2 linked regions of the Kluyveromyces lactis genome follow. The protein of the gene in region 2 interacts with the protein of the main gene of each other region in a pairwise test. Links are inferred from orthologs where the notes say so. Each region holds a gene or a part of one and is shown on either strand. Other genes may lie near its edges. The genes, in order: HMT1 and SNF2.

What was found.
Region 1: the proteins of SNF2 (region 2) and HMT1 interact in binary tests that used the Saccharomyces cerevisiae proteins (3 or more experiments, as listed by UniProt). The link is inferred for Kluyveromyces lactis from reciprocal best matches to the Saccharomyces cerevisiae genes SNF2 and HMT1.

What each region holds. Positions count from the first base shown.
Region 1 is NC_006038.1:617,140-620,200, reverse strand, and holds HMT1 (protein-arginine omega-N methyltransferase HMT1), read right to left. Parts: upstream 1,834-3,061; coding exon 787-1,833; downstream 1-786. Other genes in the region: KLLA0_B07139g (60S ribosomal protein uL4), read left to right, coding at 1-198; DNA replication protein PSF1, read right to left, coding at 2,236-2,871. UniProt on the Saccharomyces cerevisiae protein: S-adenosyl-L-methionine-dependent protein-arginine N-methyltransferase that catalyzes both the mono- and asymmetric (type I) dimethylation of the guanidino nitrogens of arginine residues in a variety of RNA-binding proteins such as heterogeneous nuclear ribonucleoproteins (hnRNPs) and small nuclear ribonucleoproteins (snRNPs).
Region 2 is NC_006038.1:740,765-745,107, reverse strand, and holds the start of SNF2 (SWI/SNF catalytic subunit SNF2), read right to left. Parts: upstream 2,904-4,343; coding exon 1-2,903. UniProt on the Saccharomyces cerevisiae protein: Involved in transcriptional activation. Catalytic component of the SWI/SNF complex, an ATP-dependent chromatin-remodeling complex, which is required for the positive and negative regulation of gene expression of a large number of genes.

The sequences.
Region 1 (3,061 bases), about 120 kb from region 2:
TTGAGAGCCGCTGGTCAAGCCACTCAAAAGCGTACTCACGTCCAAAAGAAGAACCCATTGAAGAACAAGCAAGTCTTGTTGAGATTGAACCCATACGCTAAGGTCTTCGCCGCCGAAAAGTTGGGTTCCAAGAAGGTCGACCAAGCTAACAAGATCAAGCCATCTGCTACTGCTTTGGAAACCTTGAAGCACGATTAAACAAAATAGTACGTTTCTTTCTACTTCACTAGTCTGAAATATATTTTTTTGTATTCAATTGCTACTTCTTCCCAATCCCAAAACAATCTTGTTGTGAGAGAGCTTGAGCTCTGCTTATAGACTAAAATTAGTTTCTACGTATATATCTCTATGTAGCGTCTCTCAAATCATTCATTGTTTTAGCGAGCGTTGTCTTTTTCTTATTGCAAGAGGCGGAGTGAACATTTGTCTATAATGCTTATCAAATTTGCAAAATATAATACATAGAGAATTATATAATCTTGAAGCCTAAGCAGGAAATAATTGGGTGTGGTTGCTAAGTACTGTTACAAACTGCTTGGAATTGCGAGAGGGGCTTTCATTTCCTTTTTATTTTATCTTTGTTTCTTAATGTTAATGATAATAGTGAAGTTCACAATGGAATCGAAGGCATTGAAAGGTTGAAAGAGCTGCATTCCTTCAGAATTAACCAAGTAATAAACATAATCTGAAGGTGATCTGAGCCTCAATGGGAATAGTAAACGAATAGTTTACGTAAAAAGGGCCCCAAATAATGGACTGAGTAAGAAAAACAACATAGCTACTATTTTAATGCATCAAGTAAGTGTTGGTACCCTTTCTTGACCTTTCTTTACCGTCTGGACCAGAGGCCTTGAAATTGTACACGATCTTGATATCCAAATCTCTGTTGTTATCTTTGTTTGGTAAACAGGTCAATTCACCTTCTAGGATATCATTAGCTTCACATTCCAAATCGTCTTCCAAATAGAAGACGGTTTGTTTCCAATGGGTGTATGTAGCATGGGCACCAGTGGAGAAAGTGACAGGTTTGTTACCCTTTGGTGCTGGGAATTCAATATCGAACCATGAAATCAACCCATTAATGAAATCTTGTCTCTTTGCCTGCAATTTAAACTTGCTGTGGAATGCCAAATCTGGGATAGTCACTGTATTAAGATCAAATTCGATTAATTTACATTTGGTAGTATTAACAGAACTGTTTTCCACTGTATCGACCAAAGGTTCTCTTTTCACCAATGGGATAAATGGTGAGTAATCGAACCCATAAACGTCTTGCCAAAAGTTCAGCTTTTCGCCCTTATACTTAGAATCTTCAAGACCAGCAATGTGAATGGAACACTTGTCAGGGAAGATCAACCCACCTTCGACCAAGTAGTTATCACGTGCATACAACACGGTATCCAACATGGATTCGTATAATAAGAAGTAACCCATCCATTCGGAAATAATGATATCAACCTTCTTATAAGGCAACACAACGTCTTCCAATTTACCACGTAACAAAGTGATCTTGTCTGAAAGACCATTCAATTCAACAATTTGCTTAGCCATTTCAATAATACTAGACATATCAACACCAATGACATGCTTAGCACCGTTCTTTGCAGCAAACATAGATAGAATACCAGTACCGCATCCAACATCTAGGACAACCTTACCTTTAAAGAAGTCCTTATTTTGGGCTATAGCGTTACGGTACGAAAGCGTACGCACAGTATCTTGCAACATCTCTTCATGAATACCGAAATGGTCATAAGAGGTGAAATAGTGTTGTTCATACTCGTTCAATTCTTTTTTCTGCGTAGCAGAATCAGTGACATCAGTCTTGGACATCCTTTATTTTATTAGCTTTACAATTAGGAAAGATATGCTCAACAATTAGACTAAAGATGAAACACAAGTCTTGGTATATGTATGGTGACAAATATTATATCCCAATAAGCTGTACACTATACTCAATGCAATCAAACCAATAACCGTTCTAACAAGTTGGTTCCAGATCAAGTACTGTTCTGTTACTTATGCCTCGTTGCCTTAAATACAAAACTGAAAAATTTTTGAAGGCGATGAGCTGCAAGAAAAAGAAATCCAAAAAGAAATCGTGCATTCCCCATAGTGAAAGTGAGGTAAAGCTAGTTAGTTGCATTTGGAACGGTTGCATCAGCAATATCACCAGCAATGATATCTACAGAATTGCAATGAAAGGTGCAGAATTCGGCGAAAAAAGCTGCCTTGCTATATCTTCTGCAGATATCCTTGTTGTATAAGTCTTTCGACGTCGGATTGTCTGACGAAAAATTGGGAATCTTTAATCAGGTTGAATACACCGTACTCTGTTTCTATTTGTCCTGCATCTTTCAATACTCGTACGTCGATGAACACATCGCTCGGCGGTTGTAACATCCCAGTCAAATCGATTTCTGAGAGTTCTCCCGATTTCAATTCGGTAAGTAGTTGTGCATACTCTTTGAGATACTCTTGTTCTGCATGTGATAAAACAGAGGAATCAAACGATGATAGATTCGGGTGGTTTGATATGGCAGAAGAAAATTCCATCCCGTTGTTATCCCAAACCATTGAGTCTAGCATCTCACTTCTCATCTTTTGGTATGCTAATAGACATCTTTTGTTTCTTTCCATCGAAAGCATAGCAACGACGTACTGGCATTGAGCGACTTTGTTATCCTGATCAGTAAGCTGCTGTTCTCGTAGGTAATCCACGTTCTTCTTGAGGGATCCAACCTCTTTCAGGATGCCACGGACTAGCTCGTCTTGATATACTGGTAATTGCTGTTTGTTGAATCCAGCTTGAGATAACTGTTGCGTTCTCTTTGCTTCTAGTATCAACTTGTTAGCGAGATCTCCGTACATTTTCGGTACTATGGCAATGATAATCAAAACCAATGACTTGAATCCAGTTCCAGGTCTTTTAGCACGTTCTTTTCCCTCTGTGTTATCTCTGTAAAAGTTGTTCATAGCTTTTCTCTTCTCTAGATTGAAATCGCTTTGAGGAAAACACGTAAAATTTAAGGACTTTAACGTGAAACGATACTGTTTAGAC
Region 2 (4,343 bases):
TTGTTAAACCCACGAGAACTAGAGAACTTCTGGTTACTTGAATCATCAAAAATGAATAGCCTACGATGCTTCAACATCTGTTGGTATAATTTGTGTTGTAATGCACTCATCTTACATTTCAAAACCTTTTCTACTTTATCAGGAAGATCTTTTTCAACATCTTTCTTTAAACGACGAAGCAAGAAAGGTCTGAGTACCTTATGTAATCTTCTAATGACCAATAAAGTTTCTTCTTCGCTCAATGCTATCTTGTCTTGACCACCAGTGTTTGCAAACGGTGTATTGAACCATTCATCGAAAGATTTCACAGAATTGAAAATTTTTGGCAAAACGAAGTTTAAAAGGGCCCATAGTTCTGGCAAATTATTCTGTAAAGGGGTACCAGTCAAAATCAAACGATAATCAGAATGATAATATGTGTTCAAAGTTAAAGAAAGCTTAGATTGAGCGTTCTTCATTCTGTGACCCTCATCAATAATTGTGTGAACCCATTTTATCTTAGAAAGTAATGGACGCTCTTTGATAATATATTCGAAGGTTGTTAACACTACATCAAATTCACGATTTTTGATTAACGCTTGTTTAGGTTTACGTTCCATTGGAGGACCCTTGAAAGCTATCTTCCGCAACTTAGGTGCCCATTTATCAAACTCTGCATTCCAGTTGGTCAAAGTGGATAACGGAACAATAACTAAAAATGGACCATGGACCCCCTTAGCTTCGTACAAGTAGGTTAAAAGAGAAATTGTTTGAATAGTTTTACCTAGACCCATTTCGTCTGCTAAGATACCGTTCAAGTGGTTATTGAAAAGAGACACCATCCACTGTAGACCTTTCAATTGATATTCTTTCAAAGTACCACCTACAAGGATGGATGGTTGTTGTTTCACTTCTTCCTTGATACTATGAGCAACTTCATAATAATCGATTCTCTCACGTTCCAAGTCATCATCAGAGTCTGCTCCGTTTTTATCACCCACGTTGTCTTCGCTAAGTTCCTGAGTGTCAAGGTGAGATTCGATCTTATCTTTAGTGAAAGACTGTTGATCCTTAACAGCTTTGGTTAAAGAATCCAAGAAAGTGTTAGTCTGTTTCAACAAATGCGTAATTCTTGTGTCCTTTGTCTGATCCAACAACTTAATATATGCTTCTTCATCGTTAGCTTTCAATGCTTGCAAACGTTGTTTGGCATTTCTTTCAATTCTTTTCAATTCTTCTTTTTCCAAGTTCGTGTGTAAGTTTATCAACCTGTGACCTAACTTAACACGCTGAGCTTTTTTATCTATTCTCAAATCATGTATCGATTTACAACGGTCCAAGATTGAATTCAATTTAGAAGATTTTTCAAGTTGTTGTTTTTCGTACTGTTGTAATTCTCGTGATTTAAACAATTCTCTAGTCAACAAAGCATCTTGAATGTTTAAACCACGATTTTTGGATAAAAAGTTAGGATGAATATTAGTGAGAAGTGTGCTTTGATACCATTCAAATGACAATACATAACCTCTAATAGCTTTTTGTAAAGGAAGTAACTGCATTGCATTATAGTCCATAATCAATTCCCCTTTATCCTTTACTTGAGAATCTGATTCTAATAGTTGTTGCAAACAAAAATCCAGTGATGTATCTAAATCCAAAGCGATGAGAGTTTGGTAAGTTTCCATAGCAGACCTTGGATCCAGACCAACGGGTAACAGACTGGGGGTGATAGAAAGATTTTGTTGGTTAAGAAGATCCGTATAACTAATTGGTGGTACCAACGGTGTGGAGCCTGGAATGCCGCCTTGTTCTGGGTACGAGAAACAATCCACCATAATATGCGGTGAAGCTACGTCGATGTACTTTTCTATATCTTCATGTTGCTTCTTGTATGTGGATAAAAGAGCGGGAGGTTCTTGTTTTGGGGGGTCCTGGTCCGGAATAGGAGGAGAAATAGGGCGCGAAGGTTCCACCATTGGGGACTGAACTGCCATAGGAGTGGGTTCTGACGTCACTATAGGAGAAGCTGGGTTTATATTTGCCGTGGTATTTACCAGTTGAGCAGGCATGTTATTTTGTACAAGTGGTTGCGAAGCTGCTGCTACTGGTGATTCCACCTTACCCTTTTTGGGTTGACGAACCTTCTGTACTGGTTTCTTCACGCCTTGGCGTACCTGAGGCGAAAGCTTCTGCTGCGGTACATTATTCTGTTGTTGTTGTTGTTGTTGTTGTTGTTGTACTGGAGGTTGCATCTGCTGGCCAGCATTATGAGCTTGTAAATCGGCACTCAACGCCAGTAGAATGGATTTGAAATCCAGTAAATTGGTCAAAGACCGATCAATGACCATCATAATCTCTGGTGGTACGACCATGTGGTTAGCCATCATCTTAAGAGATTGGATCTGTGCCTTCAACAAGAGCGACTGTTCATCTGTGAACAAAGACCGTGATGATGACGCGTTATTATTATTATTATTATTATTAGAATTAGAATTAGAATTAGAATTGGTGCTAGCTGGCGTATTCACTCCTACTGTTAGACCAGAAGCCGGCGCGATCGGCTGAGGTCCTACCTGTGGTGACATATGTGGTGGTGGTACCGCTGTTGCTGCTACAGGGCCCATACCATTACTGCCAGGGGTATAAGCAGACGGAGTCGGTATGTTATTCGGCGAAGCCGAACTAGCTGCTGCTGCTGTTGTTGCATTCTGCAATTGCTGCTGCTGCTGTTGTTGTTGTTGTTGTTGTTGTCGCTGCTGCTGTTGTCTGGCAGCCATCCTCAACACAGCCGTATAGTACTGGTACTCCTTCATAGACTCGACATTCGCACCATGTTCGTTACGAAGCTGCTGCCACCGCAGGTAGCAACGATTAATCTCTTCACGCGTATATTCCCTCCTGGGAGGACTGAACTCTAAATCCATTGCCAAAACAGGCCTATCGCAACACTAATACTAATACTATTACCAGTAATAAAAACGCTTGTCACTAGCAAAGAGAGCAAAGCAATTCTTAATTCAAGCCGAAGCTAAAGGATAAACAAAAAACAGAAAAAGTACTGCTTAGCCGCCGACGATATGGCACTGCAGACTATCCGAAAAGTAAAATACCAACCGAAGGAAGTTACCTTAAACACACGCAAAGCCTGTATGCACAACGGTTCTGTTGTTTTCTGTGTTTATTTCCCTTCTCCGTTTCCGTTTACTAAAGTTATTTTGTTTATGTTTTACAGCGTAACACAAAAAAAAATTTTTTTTTTGTGTAAATTATTCGCTTTTGTAATCATGCTTTCTGTGTGAATTTTGACTGGCACTGGGGCTTAAAACATGGGTTTAAAGCACACTTTAAGGCAAGTTTAAGACATACGTTTGAGGCGTTAAGAGTATGTCGGGATGGAACTGGACAATAGCTGCGGAATATACAAGATGACGTGCTGCATGTGTGTATATAAGATACATAGATATGGATATACATTTTAGGGATGTGCGCAGTACATGCAAGTGTACAGTGGAATCTGATATGGATTGAATGGATATAGTGACAGACCCCCCCCCCCCCCATCCCATTCGTCTTGTGAGAAATTAAGTGAAACAAGAAAGGCACAGAGAGTGAATTAGAGACTGAGGTAAGACTAAGTATGACTTGCTGCTATGCTGATTCTGTGCCGGGCCTTAGATGCATAGGAAGTAACGTGTGGATACCTCTTTTTTTTATTTCTGCTTATTCTTTCTTTCCACCGATTCTATCACTTCTCTGTTCTATTTCTACATCATTTGTTGCCCTGTGCAACTAGGCTTTTGATTTCTGATCGTTCACTAGTGCAGGCAGTAGTGTGACTAGTAGAGTAGATTAAATACTCATTCTCCGTCTCTCTCGGAACTGAACACATCGGTAGGGGGGTTTTTGCTATGTTACGTTATATGTTATGTAGCTGTACCAGATAGGAAATGGAAGAGAAGGAAGGGGAAATTGGAAATTAGAGAATGGTCTTTGAAAAGAAAAGCTGCCTTTCTCTGTGTTAATCTCATGTTCTATGTATGTGTACGAGGTTATTTGCCCCACTCATTTGGCAAAAGCTAATTCCAATTTTTTTTTTTTACGTTGACAAGATACATGACCGTATTTGATTGCGGAATTAGACGGGATCAAAACTGGTTAGTTAAGTAATCAATTCTGTTCTATTCTCTATCAATCCGACAGTAGTACTTTTTTTTCCTAATTACCATATCATAAGATGTCGAGGTGAAATTAAGTTGTGCTTCTCTTTCTCTCTCTCTTTTTTTTTTTTTTTTTTTTCTTTTGCGACCACCAGGAACGGTTCTAAAACAGGACTTAGTTAACCCATTATAATTCGGGTATTTTCC